2 linked regions of the Lepisosteus oculatus genome follow. The protein of the gene in region 2 purifies or fractionates together with the protein of the main gene of each other region. This does not show direct contact. Links are inferred from orthologs where the notes say so. Each region holds a gene or a part of one and is shown on either strand. Other genes may lie near its edges.

Region 1 (9,958 bases), on a different chromosome or scaffold from region 2:
GTGTTTGTTTTGCCAGCTCCACCATTTTGTGTTTTATAGATTAGTAACCTTTACTTTTCCAACCTTTTTTCAATGTACATTGTCATCTGTCAAGGTCCAAGTGCAACTATTTATGAAATAAGAAAACTGAGTACAAGGGACTAGTCCCTGCTCAAGAAGGCATGACAGGAGACACCAATAGCTTAGAAGAAGACAAGCCCCAAACCCTAAACTACAATACCTGGGAGAGATCACAGTCTGATACTGGAAGCCCAAACTGCCAACTTCTCATTTGTCAATGAAATTTTTTGGGGCACATCAAATCAGATCATGTTAAACTTGTTTTGATTCACAACCCAGTGTCATACAACAGTGATACAGTCAAGAAAACACATATACGTGTTTAATTAATTGCACGTTAAGAGCAGATGCCGGATTGGATCCTATTGCCACTGTTCTAACATTAAAGAGAAATTATCTCTGGGAGAACATCAGAAAATAAATTTCAATAAACTTAGAAAGGCACTGTCCCAAGCAGATTTCAGAAGTTCTTGAGTCATAAACAAATCCACTAATTTATTATTTCAGGGGTCCTCATTTTGTCTCTTTGCCATTTATATATTGTCTACTTAAAAATGAATTTATTTAAATTGACTTAAGACAGTGAATAATTACAGTAATAACACAATTGTTTCAAATTTAACAAAATAAATCTGCTAAAGGGGAATTTTGACTATAAAATCAGAAATATTTGACTTTCCCTACAATACTGAATTGCTTTCAATGCGTGTTGTTTGCATGTTGTTTACTTTAGCGAACTAAAAAAAATCATTAAAATGATTTAAAAATCATTTAAAAAGACACCAAAATGTTATAAAAATGTAAAAAAAATAAATAAAACAATTCAAAATAAATACAATTATTACTACTGCAAAGGGTTCAGGAATATCAAAGGTGCCTTACAGGAACAGGCCAATTGATTATGATGTGTGTTTGTGTTTCATATGCTTCAGCAAATTTTATACCGTATGTTTACAACAAACGAAATAAAGGGCTTTCTGATTAAAAAAAGCCCAGGAAAAAGTTTCATTTACATTAAAAAAGAGCCTATATACAACAGTAGATAGTATACTGTATACATTTCTCATAGAATTGTGTGCTTAGTGAGTTCATAGGGAAAGAGGACCAGACAAGCCTGTGTCCCTTGAGGGCAGGCACTGAGGGCTCCCGCACTATTCAAACTCATTCCTCAGTCCTGCTCTCGCTGCAACACACAGCAAAAGTGAAACAGAGATACATCATGAGGTACTTATGAATAAAAACAAGCATATCAGCATAGCCCAGCCCCTAGTGTTACACGTGAAGGAGCCCGTCAGTGAATCAAAGAGTACGATTTCCCAACTCAAACCTGGAAGCAGTAACTGAACTTCGCCAACTCTGAAGAGCAACATTAAAATGTTACCAGAATACATCTTGTTTTTCAAAGCTTTGAGCCTAAGCTTTGAGGGGTGTAACCCCGGCGTCCTGGCCAAATTTCCCATTGGCCTTACCAATCATGGCCTCCTAATAATCCCCATCTATGAATTGGCTTCATTACCCTGCTCTCCTCCCCACTGATAGCTGGTGTGTGGTGAGCACTCTGGCGCACTATGGCTGCCGTCGCATCATCCAGGTGGGGCTGCACATTGGTGGTGGTGGTGGAGGGGAGTCCCCATTACTTGTAAAGCGCTTTGAGTGGTGTCCAGAAAAGTGCTATATAAGTGTAAGCAATTATTATTATTATTATTAAAAAGTTTAAATAAAAAACTAAGGGCTACAATTCAGGTTTTAACTAAAGGAACTCTTAAAACACCAGAGCAACACAGAAGCTCAAAGGGGCACCTGACCTGTGGGCGATTTCCTCTGCCACTCTGTCCTCGGGGTCGTCCTCGGTGAGTTCGAATCGACCCTTGTAGTCCATCTCCTCCTTCTCGCCCAGCCTCTCCTTAACTGGACGTTTCCTCTTGAGGTGGGCGCCCCCGTTCCCCTCCTCAGCCTTGTGCTCCTTCTTGTCGTGCTGCATGTAATCCTCCAGCTCCTCGTCCAGCTTGGCAGCCTCCTCCGACTCCTGCTGCTGTCGCTCCCTTTCCATCATTTTGCGGGCCAGCAGGAAGTTGTACGTCTCCGACTGCCGACTGCTCATGCTGATGCCACCCTCCATGCCCAATATACCCAACTCCGCCGCCACCACCTCCTGGCTCTGCTCCTGCACGACGGCGCCCCAGATGTTGTTCACCTTGCAGCTCGGAGGCTTCTGGGGGGCGAGGGGGCCCGGCACAGGCAGCTTCACAGGAGGCGGATGGGCACATTTCTGGCGTTTCCTCTTCCAGATGGCCCGGTCTTCATCGGAATCCGACTCGCTGTTGTCGCTGGAGTCTAGCCCTGCCGTGCTGCGGTAACTCGTGACAGAGGTGGGGGCCTGGCGCGGCTCCGATCTGCTCTGGAAAGCCTGGCTGTTCAAGGCTGGGGGCTGCAGTTTCTGCAGAAAGAAGGTCAGAAATAATGCACGGGACACATTGGGGTTATGTAGTACTTTCTTTACTCTAAACACAACTTTGCTTGGAACTTCATTATACAGGACAAAAGTACTACATGCAGTGTTCAGCATTAGGGGAAGATGTAAAAATGTCACCAATAAACCTAAGACTTAAAAGTATATCAAACAGAAAAACAAAATCAATAAGTAGAAAGTATTTATGAAACAGGCACAAAATATAAATCATCCAAAAAAACTTGTCCCCCCCCCCATCACTGGAAACTTACAGTTGCTATACAACCTTGATATACACTGGTAGTAAAAGGTTATGTTTTTAGAGAATCACACCCAAGAAGAATCAGCATGAGTTACAGATGTATAGCGACGTACCGTGTGCGTTTGCTGCCATGTGAAATAAACTTTTCGCATTGTAACAGGCCTGTCTGCCTTCTTAATAATCACACTCGAGTGCAGTCCAGACATTTTAGCAGTGTATAACTGTTTTTCCAAACAGTTATCATCTTGTCGGCATCTGCGCCAACAATTGTGGATGGCTGATCATATTATTTAATCTTCTTCAGACCCATTACAGTTCATTTGCTCTACACCACTAGCCAGATATCTTCCAGATACAGACCGCAGACGCTAAGCAAACCTGCGTCAATACCTGAATAGGAGAGTTTTAAATAAAAATAAATCACATTTGCAGCCGTAAACTACAGAATTACGTGACTTCTTGGTAAAGCGAATGACACTCTGGATTGATTTTGCTGTAACTTCAAATTTAAAACTGGAATCCAAAACAATCACTAAACATGCATGTAATAACTTCAACTTAAATATCCTCACGAGTTTACCGATTTTAGCCTTTAAATCTCGTAATAAAAAAATGTACACAGCTGAGTTCCTTTCACGTATAAATTAAAACGAAAACGTTGCTACCTCCTTAACAGCAAAGCAACCAAGGTATATCTAACCGTCAAATAAGGTAAAACCGAAATTACCTTCTCTGAGAACCAAAACGCGGTATATTTCACTCTTAAACATATTTCAACAAAACTTACCTGCATTTGTTCATCCGCAGCAACTCCCATTTCCGAATCAGAGTTAGAACTACAGAGCTCACCATCTTCGAGATCTTCCATCCTATCCGCACTCACCGCCATTTCCACTAACCCGGCAATAAAACAGCTCCCTCGGGCCGCAGGAACACCTTCCTGTGTCACTCGGCCTCCGGAACAGGAGGCCGGTCGATGTCACGGCGCCTCCTGCTGTTCTACAAGACAAACCGCTCACGTTAGCAAAGCCCGTCCAGATCGCGGGGAGGAGACGCAAATGTGAAAACACTCCTTCTGATTCACATCACCACATAATCTGCTTTTGTCGCGAAAGGGATCTGTTTGCTTTAATTAATCAGTTTAAGACATTCACCTGAATTTGGTTTGGGGCCGAATCCAGTCCAATAATATATTTTTTGTTACGTGATAACCCAGAACATTATTTTAAACGGGGTTTTATTAGCACTAGTACAGTTTTAACATTACTTGCTCTTATTTAATTTCTGTAGTCTTTAACTGTACGTTCCCAACATTATCTAGACTGAGGTCATAGACAAGCCAACATAAACATAAATATTCTTCCTAAGTAGTATTTTCAAGCTCAGTGTCTCCATCTTATGTTTGCAGTGTCCACTCAGTTGCTTACACTTTTTGATTTTATGCCACCTATAACACCTTCAACTGAATAATAAAAGTCAGATTCTAGTTAATGTTTTACTTGGGTGATGGTGGATTGTAACTTTGCATTTTACACTTTGTTACTTATTTTAACACCCCACACGCACGCACCCGACGACGTTAAGTGTAGACGAAATGTTAAAAACTGCAAAATAAATTCGGACAATGTATTCGCTTGGTTGCAAAATTGCATTGACCGTCTAGTTATCAAAGGTTAAATGTATAGAAAAAAAACATACAGATTGCATATATTGGATCAATTCATCTATTTTGATGTGGAAAAAAAACATAACAATTATTTAAAAAAACACAAGCTAGCAGAGGATGGTTTCGATCCATCGACCTCTGGGTTATGGGCCCAGCACGCTTCCGCTGCGCCACTCTGCTGCTCGCTAAAAAGCTGTCGTCAATCGGATTTATCAGTGCTGCTCTGGCCTTCTGGGGGCACTATCGAGTCAAGGATCAAAACGTTAGCACATTTCTTTAACTTCTAACCGTAACGAGCAATAATGACATCCTATTGCTGCGGGGGTAAAAGTGTTTTGTGTTATCCGAACAAAAAAAAAACAGAAATATATGATCATGACTTCAGCTCACAGCCTGGTGATTTCACAGAAACGTGTCACCCAACATTTTACGTGCTCAGAGAAAACTGACTTGCGTGTTGCGTAAGCTCCTGCACGTAAAGGACGCAGAAGGGCTGCAAAGCCAGCGCTGCTGGCGACAGATGGGTAGAGCCTGTATCTCACCAATCATCGCCTCCGCTTCGGGGGGCTGGGCTGCACAGCACTGTCTGCGCTGAACTTGGCGTCGGTGCTCTGTTACAGCCATGCAGCTTATTGCTCTAACTGCTGTAAAGCACTTGTCCCTCAGGAGAAAAGTCCTTTTCCGCGGTTTCCGACAAACGGCAACCATGTCCACACTCCTGATCAACCAGCCGAAATACTCCTGGCTCAAAGAACTAGGCCTAAAGGAGGAAAATGCCGGAGTTTACAATGGAGCGTGGGGAGGGAAGGGAGAGGTAAGACGCGAAGAGATTTAAGTGGCATTAGGTAGCAAGGGCAGCCAATAGCAATGCTTTGCTAAAAATACTTATGAAGATGGCTGCAAATCGAGACTGTCCCATTCACTTAAACGTTTCTACTGTTATTTATTTAAAATTTAATCCACTCGATGCTAAGATACAGAAAAACCGTTTAATGTATTAATATCCTAAATGAGATCTTAAAAATGCATTGTAAAATTTTAACATAGCATCCCTCCACTTAAAATTACCTGCATTGAGCTACGTATCATAAAGTTCTGCTGCTTTTTTGTTTCTTCGATATAAAATGTCAACATAAACCTAGGCCTTTGTAATAGTTTCTTCAAACTAATACTATCTCGTGCGGTGTATGTTTATTTCTTTTTTCGTGTAACATTTTGAAAATGTTTATATAAAAACAAATTCTGCCAGGTGTTTCCCAGTTTTATTAACTTATTTTAAAATTTCCCTTAAATGTACCACAGTATTTGCTTATTCTTCTTTTTCTATTATATGTGAGTTTGATTTGCGTGCTAACTATACCAAGATCGAGATCATTGATATAAATTAGAAAGAGCAGTGGTGCTAGTACAAATACAGTATCTGCAGCACTTGGCTAATTATATCTTCCGAATCGGAGGATTTATTAATTCTTATTTGTACTACTCCCTATCCATTTACCAGTTCTGAATCCCACAAAACATGCATTGTCTTGCATATCAATTGGAATTTATATAAAAGAAATAAGACTTATTGGCTTACTTGGTTTGGTTCTGATGCCCTTTTTATTCCCTTCTTGTTAATGGGCTATGAATAACATTTCTTGTGTCCTAAAGTAGAATCGGTAGAATTCCATATGACTGTGGGGATTTAAGTGCGTTTAATAGCTATAACAATTCTCTCTGTTCTGTGCTAAAGCTGCATAACAGAAGTTTGACTTTGCTCAGCCAGAGGCATGTTGACAGGTTGTCTTAACCTATCAGCCATATCACTAGCCAGCAGCCATATCACTCTGCAACTCACAACTGGCACCCCACTGAGGTTAAGCAGGTGTGAGCCTGGCCAGTACCTGGACGGGAGCCCTCCTAGGAAAAACTAAGGTTGCTGCTGGAAGAGGTGTTAGTGGGGCCAGCAGGGGGCGCTCACCCTGCGGTCCACGTGGGTCCTAATGCCCCAGTATAGTGATGGGGACACTATACTGTAAACAGGTGCCGTCCTTCGGATGAGATGTAAAACCGAGGTCCTGGCTCTCTGTGGTCATTAAAAATCCCAGGCTGTTTTATGAAAAGAGTAGGTGTCCCGGTGTCCTGGCCTCTTAATAATCCCCGTCTATGAATTGGCTTCATTCTGCTCTCCTCCCCACTGATAGCTGGTGTGCGGTGTGCGGTGAGCGTTCTGGGGAGCCACCATTAGTGGAGCTCAAGCGCTATATAAGTGTAAGCAATTATTATTATTATTATTATTAATGAACACCTGAGGGAAATCTCCATTTATGTTAGCCATAACCCGCCATAACCCGTCATTGTCTAAAAACATCCAGTTTAGAGGTTTACTTGTGGTGTTAAGCTTACATGTGATTAGTTCTTCTAGATTAACTATATTATGTGCTATTTGTTAAAGATGCACTGAAAATAGTATGCTTTAAAGATGTAGGATATAATTAATATTGTCTTTCTAGGTCATCACTTCTTATTGCCCTGCCAACAATGAACCCATTGCAAGAGTCCGACAGGTAATTTCAGCCTCATTCTCTTAATGCTTATATCTATCCTGGTGGATGTCATGGTTGAAAGCTGTGTTCTGTGCATAAATATATATCCAAGGCCATTTACTTTAGGGACAGATATATATTACTTACCAGTCTGATAGCATTTGAAGTCGACTTATTGCATAAACCTTTGTCCTCTGGATGACCTTGCTTACTATAATGCCAAACTGACAGATAGATTTAGTTATAATACATTTCTTATTTATTAAAGGATGAAAACAAAAAAATATATAACAGCATTTTGACATAAACTCTTGAGCAAAGAAACTGTATTTTTGGAGATTCACAGATGGCAAAACACCTTATTGAGCTTAATGTTCACAGATGCTACTGAATATTAATTATTTTTACTAAATGTCTTGTTAATTTTTAAAGTAATTCTTTATTTAGTTTGTCACTGTAATGGATTACTTTTTAAAGTAACTTTCCCAAGCAATGTTTGTACCTTTCCTTCACAGCAATGTAGGCATAGCACCACATTCTACTTCCTCTATTACATTCTGTGACTATTTGGAAAAGTACTTTTCTCAGAAATCCCTCAAAGGGCTTTAAACATTTATTTATGTTATTGAACTGAATTTGCAAATTTCTGCCTACACCTCATTCCTAGATTAATTTCTGTTCATGTAATAAATGTCCTTTTTATTCTGTCTTGCGGTCTGTCATCATTAGTGAATGCAGTTAAAAATTAACTGTTACTGTCTTGTCACAGATGAGCTCCATTGCAACAGTTTAAAAATTGTGCAATCTTCCTCTTATCCTCTCAACATTTCAGTTTCTACGTAAAATCTTTTTAGGGTCATTGTTTAATATATGGAGGCTTATCTCATTTAAAAATATTTTGTGAATGTTACTCAACTTTCCATTTAGTTTGCCTAAAAAAAGGGATGGATAATTCAAAAAAGGGTTTACTTAACAATTCATACAAAAAGTAAGTAAAACACAAGCATGGGAAAATATTTCACATATCCCAGATGTACCTGGTACATTCAACAACAATTGGAACAGAACTTTTCCAGAGTTTGAGTGAATAGTTTGGAAAGTTTTTTTGTGTTTGAGAATAAAGGGCGCTTTGGAGGTAAATAATTCTGAGCATGCTACTTTGAGTGAAACTCACTTGGCTGTGAACATTGTGATGGTACTTAGGATTCTTTTTTGTGCTTAATTTCAAGGCCACGATGGCAGAGTATGAAGAGACCGTGAACAAGGCAAAAGAAGCCTGGAAAGTGTGGGCAGATGTAAGTACTGTCAGTAAAGCATTCTAAGGATAAACCAGAAAGACACACTTGTCGTGTTACTGTCAGAAACACTCAGTGTAGAAAAGAATCCACAAACACATGTGATGCGTTCAAAATAATAGGATGTGTATGGTGGATTAATACAAGTAATTAGTTGTGAAATTTTCAAATTGCCATCACAGGTCTTTGCTTGTTTATTATCTATTCATCACCACAACAAATTCAGCAGCATGAGATTACCTCTCTCCTCTTGAAGAAAAGCAAAAACAGAAGAGAGCTACAGCATGTATTTAGTACACCTTCAAACTAGTAATTCTAAATGCTAGCTGATGTATGAACAATCCTTTTTTTCCCATTTTCATTATTTTTTTAAAGGAAATATCTATATTGTTATTGTCAAGTATGATCCTTCAAAAAAACATTAGTCTGACTTAAACAAAACTAAAATGTAGTGCTGAAAGTTAAATTTTTTGAAATTATTTTTAAATAGTGTGTCTTGGTGTTGGTTCTTTACAAGGTTTGTAAACATATATTCATACTGTTTAAATGTGATAACTGAAAGTCATTTCCTTTTTTACATAGATTCCAGCTCCTAAACGGGGAGAAATTGTAAGACAAATAGGAGATGCTTTAAGGAAGAAGATTAAAATTCTGGGTAGCTTGGTAAGAACTTTTGAGAAGCATCTACTAACTTTATTCTGACATATTCAAAAATAAGGGTTAGCTTTTCCTCAAGACAGTTCTTTCCTGTCCTGGTGTGTTTAAAACATACAGAGATAGGAAAAGCAATATTTTGCTCTTAACATCACATTGTTCTGGATGAAAAGGTCTGTTTACATTCTATTCCTGTTTAACGTTAATGCAGTCGAACGTTAATTAAAAAAAGTTTTTAAAGCCAAGAATTCAAAGTCTTCAAAGGCGCTGACAAAGTCAACACTGCAGACTTTTTCAGAATAAACAGTAAAATATGAACCCGAGAACACAAGTGGACACTTAGAAGGAATAATGCTTTTAATACTGTGAACAGGAGCTACTTTTTTACCCAAAGGGTTGTGGATGTAAGACGCTCCCCAGCCATCCTTGGATCAGTTTGCTCCTAGATACCAAATGGGCTAGAGGTCTGAATGGTCTCTGCTCATTTGTTACCCTTCATAAGTCTGAAGTATATCTTAGAGCAATTGATTGATTTTTAATACTGGAAGTTAGGAAATTCAGAGGTTGAATGTTGTAGATTCACTATCTTTAAAACATGAAGGGCAGACATGTTGCTATGACCAAATACTTCAGCCATTTCAGTGTGTGATGTTAGATACTATGGATGCTATGTTGTCCAACATATAAGAGCTGTGTACATGAACATTTTTTTTTCTCACTTCTCAAACTATTCTGATGTCTTGTAATAGAAAATTCCACTTATGGCTTCAGTTTGTTTAATTATAGTTTACAATACAATATAATTAATTATTAATTTAATCAGCATTTCTGATTTGTGCTTTGAGGCGGCACAATAGATGGTCTGTCTTATGCTTCTGCCTTTTTTGTGCAGGTATCCCTGGAAATGGGAAAAATTTATGTAGAAGGTGTTGGAGAGGTTCAGGAGTATGTAGATATCTGTGACTATGCTGTTGGTCTCTCCAGAATGATTGGCGGGCCTGTTCTACCTTCAGAAAGTAAGTCAGGATTTGCCTGCATGTGTAT
Region 2 (10,153 bases):
TGTTTCATATTGAAAACTACCGCTTTGTATTTCTGTTCACATTTTCTGTGATTTTTTTTTTGTTTGGCATTTGTTTTAAATAGTCAATTAAATCCAGTTCTAGATCTGAGTTTTCGTGTGTTCTTTTTGCACCAGTACAGTGTATTCAAACCGAAAGCCCTTTCAAAAACGTGTTGAGTCAAATCTGTTCAATGGCCGCTCCGTAAGCTGCTGCCAGCACTTGAAGGACATGATATACAGTATGAAGAAACCTTAGCAACTCAGGTTATTAGTATAAGAGGATACTTTTGTATTGCACTAACTAAAGAATGCTAAAAACTGGATTAGACATAGGAGGCACTGTAGATGAACTTGGTATCAAGGCATAACTTTCCCCCCATCCACCTAGAAAAAAGGGTCAAGGTGGGACTACATCCTGGATAGGACAATGTCATAAATGTATATCGGGCCTTTAAAAGTAGCTCCTCAAAGTGCCTTTTACGAAAAGGGAAAAATAAATTAAAGATCTAAGAAGAAAAAATGACCATAAGGGACTAGAAACAGTAGATGCAATGAGCAAATGCAGCCAGATGCCACTTAAATTAAAGCCTTGCTGAAGAAGCTTGACTTGAATGCACTCTGAATATTAATATCAATATTAATAATATCTGCACAATTGGAAATATTTAAATGCTGACTAGAGGGGGGGGCAGTATCAAGCTGGAGGAACACCAGACTTGAAGACCAAACTACAGGACTGAAACCCCCAAGAGAGAGACAAAGTGTCCATCACTGAGACACCGGTCTGGCACACAAGACAATCCAGAAATCTGCAATCTGCAATTCAACTAGTCAACATGTCGTTGGAGGGTGGAGGAAAGCTCAGAGAACATTCCGAGACATGGAGAAAATGGAAAAAAAATTGCAGAAATACAAATGACAATCAAAAGCAAAACCCACTGACAAAATAATGGTCTTCAGGTCCCTAAATTTCAGGGTATAATGACATGTTAATGTTCTGAAAGTAACATCAGGTTTTACCTAAAGACCATGACATACATGAGCAGTACTTTTAATACTTTTAGGAAAGCACTTAAGCTGAGGAAAAAACTAGAGCAATTTTAAAAATGCTTGTCCTTTAAATGAGAAAGTACATCCAGGACTTTTAACTTACATTTATCAGATTTTTGATTGTTTAGCGGTCAAGGAATGTGTGTAGGGTAAAATTAGAATCTGAATGAACTAATATCATTAATTCCAAAATTTTCCATTAACAAAGTTTTCCTTTCCAAGAAATGTGTGATGCCTTTTTTACACCAAGGGAAAGCAAATATAAAATACTTCTAAACATGCTCCTTTCATCTAATTTTTGCATTTCATTTTAAACAGTAGAGCAAATGGTGCACACATTGTTACTGAATACCAATACCAATGTTAAAAAAAGATTTTAAACACAAAATTGAAAATATTTAATGTTTCCATAAATGTTATACATAGTATACAGATCCAACAGAAACGCTCATAGTTACAAATGAAACTGGATTGGAAAAATAAGCCTTAAGGCAAAACTGGCCAAAATGGCAGATGCCTTAACCAGCTTCTCCTGCTTATTTGTGATTTTCAAAATGTACGAAAAGCATGATGTACTTCAGTCAAGTTATCTTAATTTGGTAAAACATTTAATAAAAAGGTGATAAAAGATCAACTTTATCTTTCATTACCTAAATGTACTCAAATACCACCCAATTGTAAATTCTCTACAGAAAACTAGAATTTGTGCGGGGCGTCTGGTGTTCTTTGGAGCTGAGCCAATTTTCCATATCCACCTCGAGCAGGGTCATAATCTTGCCTGTATTCATCTCTGACCTGAAAGAAAAAGAAAAAAATACCTTATTACAATTTTTTAACTGCTTTTCCATAGCCCACCCCCGGCTGGATCATAACCCTGTCTGTATTTATCTCCGTCGGAGAAAAGAAATGTGCTTCTTCACAGACAGCACTGGCCTCCCATCACACTGCGCGAGCCCCTGGTGAACCGAGCCGTGGCTGAGATCCAGCAGTTGCAACGCACTGAACAGACTTGAAGCCAAACAGCTTGAACGTGCATTAACATAAAAAAACACTGTAAAAACTTTAAGAAACACAGAATAACAGATTTGCTCATTTCTAACTTTTCTAATGGTTTTTGTTGTCGTTGCTGTTTCTAATGACAAATACAACGTTGGGCAAGCAAGCAAGCGCACCTGGCCACCTGACTTCCCACGGCCATACTGCCTGCCTTCTTTAAAGCCCGCGTCCCAGTCCGTTCTGATGATCCGGTCGTCCAGCCTGGTGCCGTTGATGTACCGCATGGCGTTCTCCGCGTCCCCACGGGTGTAGTACCTTGCATTGGGGGGGTCAAGGCGTTGCAGCAAACGAAAACGTACAAAATGTGACAAATTGCCTATCTCGGGAAGAGGGAGGGAGACAGGCCTTGGATTTCCTTGCTACGGCGGCCCAGGCACAGCGAGGTGAACCTCCTGCACCCCCCTCTCGATCCTCCCTTCTCCGTGACACTGAAAACATTACATTACATTTCTTCGCCTGGCAGACGCCTTTACCCACAGTGAATTACAACAGCATGCCGTGAAGGCGCAAAGGGTGCAGATAACAGTAACACTACAGAAGACTCCACCGTGCCATTTAACTCCTGGGATATTGCTCTCAAGTAAGAAGTCTCTGTGTTGCACGTCAGATTGTATAAAACATTAAAAATGTAAAACGTTTAAGACGCGTCACTACTCTATAAATATACAGTCAGAACATTTAAATAAATATTCCATCTAGTATATCAATTCTGTACAATAAATATACATGCACCGGATAGCTGCATTAAAAAGGAGTTACAACTCCAGAATTACCAATATCCAAAAAGCCGAAAGACAGGTCAGCAATCGCGACTGTTCTGTGCAAAAGGATACTCGACGAAGCAGAAGCCACAAGCGGTCTTCTTCACCTTGTCCAGACCCATGATGATTCTCTTCACGTCGCCGCTCTTCGAGAACAGCTCATACACCTGCTCCTCCGTCGTGTAAAAGGACAGGTTTCCCACGTAGAGGGTGTTGCTCGCCCGCAGGAGCCGTTCCTGTTCGTGGCGATTACCCTGGAGACAAAGTTCCACTTCACACTGTTTGTCGTTCCCTCCATCTCGCTACCGCAACCTTTCTTAAACTTACCTAACGAACGGTACTTTCATCTCTGCTCGATACCACGGCCGGGTAGCGTCCGAAACACAACTCTGAACACGACTGAGGTGCAAATCAAACTAACTTTTAATACACCTAATTACCAGAACCTGTTTACGCCTTGCATCTGTGTTCCTGCTTCGGCGTGTTAAATCCTGTTTTCCTAACAAAAACGCACAACGTTAAGAGTAATACTAAAGTTTTTTCACCTTACCTTGAAATGTTGGTCTCTGTACTGGCTTATATCGACGTAAGAGTCGCTGAGGAGTGCGTTTAATTGAATAGACATCGTAAAAGAACTGTAACAAAATCCACACAGAAACAAACCAACAGGGCACCCACACAAACAGCAAGACTCCCAGAACGCCGCCTTCCGGTGCGGGAGAGCCAATCAAATAAAGCTTCCGGTCCGTACAGTAAGGGCGACCGTGCGGAAACAAGGGCGGCCCGTATCGGTGACCATACAGCTCTCAATTTTCTTATATTGTTTTACTGTTTATTTGTTTTTATATTAATATAACCACAATAAGAGAGAAGACAAAATGTACGATTGTGAGAACACAGAGTTACTGTAGGCTTTCACGAGGGTTACCAGCAGCTATTTAAATGCTGCTTTTAAGTGTTTAGATTTCGATCGCACTAATAAATGCAATCATTGAATAATAATAAAGGACGTCCCTTCTTCAAGTTTATTTCATTTTCAGTTGTTTTCGTTAATCACATAAAGCATTACTCAGTAGAATCCGATACCTTATTAGCAGCTTCAACAGGGGGACGGTTGCGGTGCAAGACCGGAAATCAGAGCTTTTCAGCCGGCAGATCTTTCTGGTAGGAACATTGAAACTGCTTTCAATTTATTTGTGAGTATAACGCCGCGCAACAAATTTATTAACCGTCTTTTCCGTTGGCTCTCGTCGTCTGCAGGTCCCCGGATCCCTGGCTTGAAGATGGTTTTGAGGCGCCTGCTGTTCACCCTGTTGAACAACGCGCAAGTGATCGAGAAGCTCTCCGAGTCTCGCCCTATCCGCCGGGCGGCGCAGATCACGGCCTACGCCATCACCAAGGCGCAGATCAGCGGCAGGGACGCGGCGTCCAGGCTGCTCAAGTCGGACACCGTCCGCCAGGTGCGAGAGGAGACGGCCGGGAGGATGCCGAGGGACGTGGGCGAACTGGGAAGGAGAGTCGGGAGACTGGGGCAGATGTTCGTCAGAGAGGTCAAGGAAGGCGTGAGGGACGCCTCCCGACAGCTCAAAAACAAGGACAAACAGTGAGGGCTTGCGGAACCGTGGACTTCTGAATTGACCTGTAATTATCTCAGTAGCTGCTGAAATCCATGTCGTTTTACCACCGGGAGATGTGTCGTTTTCCACACTGTAATTAAGCGGTATTTGAATTATGGAGGCGACACTGCGGGGAAAGTAATGAAGACGACGACTTTCTGTTCAGCTCACGGGTCCAAACTCCCGTTTTGACGGCTAGGATGAAAAATATCCGAGACGTATTTTTGCGAGTCTGTGAACGTTACAAATCAACGCAATTAAAAAAAATAAATAACCCGCACCTTGTCGTAAACTGTAAACACAATGCCACAGAACGTCGAAAGAAGCAATCCCGTTATGTAAGATATGCATATTGTTCATTTTAACTTTCATTGATAAACACTGTATCGGGTCTGGTGTGTAATGTAGATGAGAAGATTAAATTGAAAAGAGTGTTTTCATGAAGTATTTGCCTTGTTTTTATGGACTGCAGCTCTTGTCAGTCAACTGTGTACGACTTTCATGGACTGGTCGCTACTGTCGGCAGAGGAAAGTGTACAAGTTTCCATCCGACATATGTTTTTTTTTTAAGGGGGTTGGTTATTTGTCGAGCCAAAGTACATAAACCACCTTCATTTTTTTAAAAATTAAATATATACCCACAGAGCCCACCAAACTCAGTGTCTGGGACTTGAAAAGGGGAATAAATAATGCGGTGTTCCTAACTTTTCTTGCTCCGTTTTATCCAAACCCATTGTAGTTCTCCTACTTCGCCACAAGATGGCCGGGAGTCTGGAAAAAAACTACCCGAGTCCTGTTTTCGGACCCCGACACCGTAGTGTTTGCTGGAAGACTGCCACTTCTCCCTAGACAGACAGGCAATACCGAGGCCGAAACAGAACCGAAGTTCTGTAAAGCGCTTTGAGAAGGTGCTATATAAAATAAAGTGTATTACTATTACTTTCCGTAGATAAGTTGCTTCAGTCCTAACCAAAGCTTTTACTATAGTAAATGCATGTATACTCTTCTCTATTCTTTATAACACATCTCATAGAAATGTTGGCTTTATTAATGTGTAGAACCTCTGTGCTTAATCTCTGCTGGCTTCATCACTTATTATATTTTTCTGGTGCAGCTTCTATTTGTTTTTGCCGTCACAACCCTTGATAACAGGAGGGAAAAGCACTGTCAGCTCCTGTACACTCGTGACTGCAGTATATTGTTAAATTTCACCTAAACATCATTTAGTGATCTTCAGGCTTCTAAGGCTACATTGGTGCACATTATTATTGTCTAGGAAGTGCAAACAGCTTTGTATCCTGTTTTATCTTATCTGTTCTGTTTTATCTGAGGTAAGCTTTCACGTTATTAGGTTCAAAGTTACATCCGCCTGGAAAAGATTTCACGACTGCACTCGGGTGAATGAGGTCTCAGTTTATTTATGAATCATAGTGTGGTTTTTAATCAAAGCTTTATGTACCTATACTTAAGCAGACGCACTGGCCTGGCAACTAAATATTAGTTACAATACAATATTTCATTGAAGAAATCAATATGACCTTTGAAGCAAGCAATAATATTCAAAGAACAGGGAGTCAGTACATATACACTGATATGGTATCTGAGCACCTTATAAAAATAAATCTTTGTTCAATAATACACAAAGAAACTCTGCAGAAAACATTTTGGAAAGAAATGCCATACTGAAAGGACAATAATGCAGCCTAGAGGGAATACTACACCTGATTATAGTACAGACTTGGTCAGTAAAAGCTCAGAATTATTATGAAGGCATTGTGCAGCAGAGAACTCGGACTTTCCATGTCTTTGATCATTCCAGAAATTAAAACACATGGGTTTTACGGTGATGCCAGCTGAAGTGATTTCCTGACAGAGAAACATGCAAAGTACTACTTTTTAAACTGGCATGATCTTCCCAAAGTTACCAGCGGTCTCAATCAAGCAGTAGGTATGGAGTAATGGATGCTGTGTCATGCTCTCATAGCTGTGAAGGTAGAGAGACAGAATTCCTATCAATCTGACCTTCAGGTATTAGTTCACTGGGAAGCTGTGATTCTGCTTTGTAGAAATAGGCAACTAAGTAAATCACATTTGAAAGCTAAGAGAGACATTTTCTGCCTCACGTCTGTGACCTCCCAAAACAATAAGCAAAGTCTTCCTCAGCTGCTCTGCTCATAGGAATTTACACTCCACATTCCAGACACCCAGGTCTAAATTAGTTTAATCTTAGTTCTGCACTGAGCAAATCACTGTTGCCATTAAGCGTGTGTTTAACAGCGTTCTTTCTGAGGTTTGGGGGGAACACACTGACACGGCAGGTACATGCAGAAAACAGCACAGGCTGTCGCCCTCCTGCCTGTGTCTGCAGAAAGAAACAAGTGTGAATTTAAGCAGCACGGCCCTGTTGCTTCGTTGCTGCTTCGTTGCTGGCTTGGCGTTAGTTTATCAAGGCGAGACAGAAAAGTGCAGGTCCCAGCACATTCCAAGACACAGAGAGCACCCCAAGAAGATAAGATTATGTAACAGGCAATGCATATGCACTGATATGGCAACTGCCTTTAGACAACAAAGGACAAAGTTTTTAAATATGACTACACATCTGTAGGATATGATATAAGTCTGCAGGAGCTTGACAAAGAGGCTCCAGATGTAACAGGCAAAGCATATGCACTGATATGGCAACTGCCTTCAGATGCTAAGGATCACAGCCAGGCAACATGCACCAGCATGGGACCTGCCTGCCTGGAGCTTCCTGTGGCACTGTGGAAGGACTGGAGAGGTAGGAGGGGGATTAATGATTGTGGACAGACCCTCTTTCCCAAAACCTGCCACCTCCTTCCCTCAGGGTGATCAACACACCTGAGGCACGAGAATCCCTGGATTTAAACATTCGAGACGATTTGGACTGGGGGTGGAGTGTCCAGCCCAGCTACAAATTGAGAGAAAAAAAAACATTTGGCACATTGAAAAATAGGACCCTAAAATCCCTGCAAATTTGCTATCTGAATCACTGAATAACGATTCTTAAAAATTGTCCAAGAATCAGTGAGACGTGGTGTTTCTTTGTCACTGTCTTCCCAGGAAAGTAGGTTTATATGTTGAAGATGATCAAGAGGAAGCCGAGTCCCACTACAAGCACCGTGGACACTGAGGAGACCGCTCCTGGCAAACAAACAGAGAGGGGTTAGAGCACATGAACAGCTCCATCTTCCAACCTGGTCATTTGCCGGGCTTCGGCCAGAGAAAAGCCTCAATTTACTACCCTTCCAGTAAAGCTTCTCTCTCATCAACTGCAGAGCTTTGATCACGGTTGTAAAAATGATTCTAATTTCATGCATTAAAAAAAGGAAATTATATTCCTGGCTAAGACATAAAAATTACAGGGCAACTGGAAACCACGCAACTCATCATCCTCTCCTGTTCTTGCTCAATCAATCGAGCTCATGAAAGAACTTCGGCCTTCGTACAGATGCAGGCCAAGGCAAGCACTGGCAGCACAGTAGGGCATCGGATCGTTCATACCTGCAGAGTTGCATTCCATCACATTCATGGCGTCCATGTAGCTCTGGCCCAGCCAGTCCGTGTAGGTCCTTTTCTCTCCGACTCCTATCAGGCGGACTGTGGAATCCTTGAAAATCAGATCCGTACCTCCAAAGGCAGAGGAATCGAACATCTTGAATCCGTTCGGATTGTTGTCATCCCCAAAGATGGCCTGCAAGTGAAAGGCTGATCGTTAACGGAACACGATCCGCACAGAGCCTTGCCGGTCAGTCCCGTCAGCAGGAGGCGGATTCACTCCGGACAGACTCAGGCGTGCAGAACTGGAGACGGGGCCTTTCCTGCACGATGACTAAAACCGCGGCTCGCCCAGCCCTGGGCGCCACGAAGCTCAGCTGGTTCACGAGGCCGGGAGGGAGGGGGGCTCCGGGCAGCCATGTCTCACCTGGGCTCTGTCGAGGAGTCCGTACACCGCGTTGGCGTCCGTGTCGGGGCGCACCATGACGGCGTGGGCAGGCACGCGAGCCAGGTTACAGCGCGCGTACTGCGAGACCTCCGCGCGAGCCCCATTGGGACACAGCAGCTGGAAGTCCCTCGACTGCAGGTTGACGGCCCAGAGATCAGTGTTGTGACCTGCCGGACAGGAGGGGCACAGGAGGCGCGTTTGCCGTGAGCCACACGCCGACTTGATGGAGACCAGGGACTCTGGTGGACGGCACTCGATCTGGAGAGCCTGTGTTTCATTTACTTCACTAGTTGTCCTACTTTCACAGAGCTGCTCTGCCTGGACCGCTGTGCACTGTGGTACCAATGTGCAGCAGTGTTGCACGCAGGTGTCTTTCTAGAAGCAGCTGCGAACCGTGGGCACGTGTCAGCGCTCATGGTTTGGGCTGGGACACGCAGGGCCCCACGGGAATGCTGGGAAAGGATTATTTAGGCATTCCTAACGACTGATGGCTTTGTTTGAGGCACGTCCATGCGTGGTCTGATTCTCCGGGACATACCGTCAGTGTTGTCGAAGACCGTGGTGTGCTTCACGAAGGCCACCTCTCCAGCGCTTTCTGATAAACACCTGCAACAGAACCAAGGAGGCACTTTGGGACGTCTATAATGGCGGCAGCATCACTGCAGGGGCCCTGGTGAGGGCAAAGCCTTCATGAAACCTGTCTGGTGAGAATGAACTCTCACACTCGCTGGCACGAAGACGGCATCGGCAGCAGCAGAGCGCACCACCGATCTCACGCTTGTCCCAGAACAATCCCACGCTCGGGTTCAGCACAGACGCTTCCACACCCTCCTGACCCATTTTAGGTTTCCTGTGACGTATTTAAAACTCATCCTTCCTTGCAAGACAGGATGAGACCTTGCACCACGACAGTTCATTCCTCAAATGACCAATACAGAGGCTGAATCAGAAGTCTCAATCCAGAGGACCTAGCCCCACTGAACATCTCCCTGTGAGACACCTGAGATGAGTGGTCAACAGCCCAAAATCAAACAGCACTGCAGCAGAGAAAGAGATCATTGGGAAAGAGTTTCCATCTTAAAAAAAGTTCAAGAAAAACATTTGTATAGGAATTAATATGTATGTGTTAACAGCAATCAATTACACAATAAATTAATGAAGAGTACATTAATTTTCCCCATGGGTCCAGACTTCTGGTACGTGCTGAGTAATAATTGTCAATTATTGGCACTGGTGTTTCCAGTGGTGATCAAAAGGTGTTGATCTTATTTAATTCATGAAAATGAACACAAAGTACACGTGAATCAGAGTGTTCATCCCAGGACTGTGCTGGCTCTTCTTTCTTGCTGAGTGTTTAATTGTACTATGGTGTTTCATTGTTGTTATACTGTATTATTGTCATGTATGTTATATGCTTATGAGCTCTTGATGGGGAAAGACAAATTCCCCTAGGGGCAATAAAGGTGAATTCATTCACTCACTTCAACGGATGCATTCGGTGCCTACCTGAAGGCGCCGCTGTATCCATAGTAACGCTCCAGGTCGCTGCGATCACATTTGTGTTGCCCGGAGACGTCCCCGACGCACAGCTGGCACAGGCTGGGAGGGTAGCCGGGCTGATTGGCTCCGGGAACACAGCTGGAACGGAAGAACTCCCCCGCAGCTGAGAGGGAGAGGGCACGCGCGTGGATTACTGTCTGTGGGTT

What was found.
Region 1: the proteins of ncbp2 (region 2) and phax purify together in Homo sapiens (affinity purification with mass spectrometry; 5 studies listed by BioGRID and IntAct, with this or other methods). This does not show direct contact. The link is inferred for Lepisosteus oculatus from reciprocal best matches to the Homo sapiens genes NCBP2 and PHAX.

The regions. Positions count from the first base shown.
Region 1 is NC_090698.1:51,421,074-51,431,031, forward strand, and holds the start of phax (phosphorylated adapter RNA export protein), read right to left. Parts: upstream 3,705-9,958; 5' UTR 3,661-3,704; coding exon 3,559-3,660; intron 2,498-3,558; coding exon 1,866-2,497; intron 1-1,865. Other genes in the region: aldh7a1 (alpha-aminoadipic semialdehyde dehydrogenase), read left to right, coding at 5,060-5,251, 6,933-6,986, 8,195-8,260, 8,843-8,923, 9,807-9,930. UniProt on the Homo sapiens protein: A phosphoprotein adapter involved in the XPO1-mediated U snRNA export from the nucleus.
Region 2 is NC_090708.1:2,220,804-2,230,956, reverse strand, and holds ncbp2 (nuclear cap-binding protein subunit 2), read right to left. Parts: upstream 3,846-10,153; 5' UTR 3,493-3,845; coding exon 3,418-3,492; intron 3,122-3,417; coding exon 2,940-3,121; intron 2,362-2,939; coding exon 2,223-2,361; intron 1,846-2,222; coding exon 1,747-1,845; 3' UTR 1,425-1,746; downstream 1-1,424. Other genes in the region: protein NCBP2AS2-like, read left to right, coding at 4,151-4,474; meltf (melanotransferrin), read right to left, coding at 7,575-7,645, 8,006-8,195, 8,427-8,614, 8,986-9,053, 9,954-10,110. UniProt on the Homo sapiens protein: Component of the cap-binding complex (CBC), which binds co-transcriptionally to the 5' cap of pre-mRNAs and is involved in various processes such as pre-mRNA splicing, translation regulation, nonsense-mediated mRNA decay, RNA-mediated gene silencing (RNAi) by microRNAs (miRNAs) and mRNA export.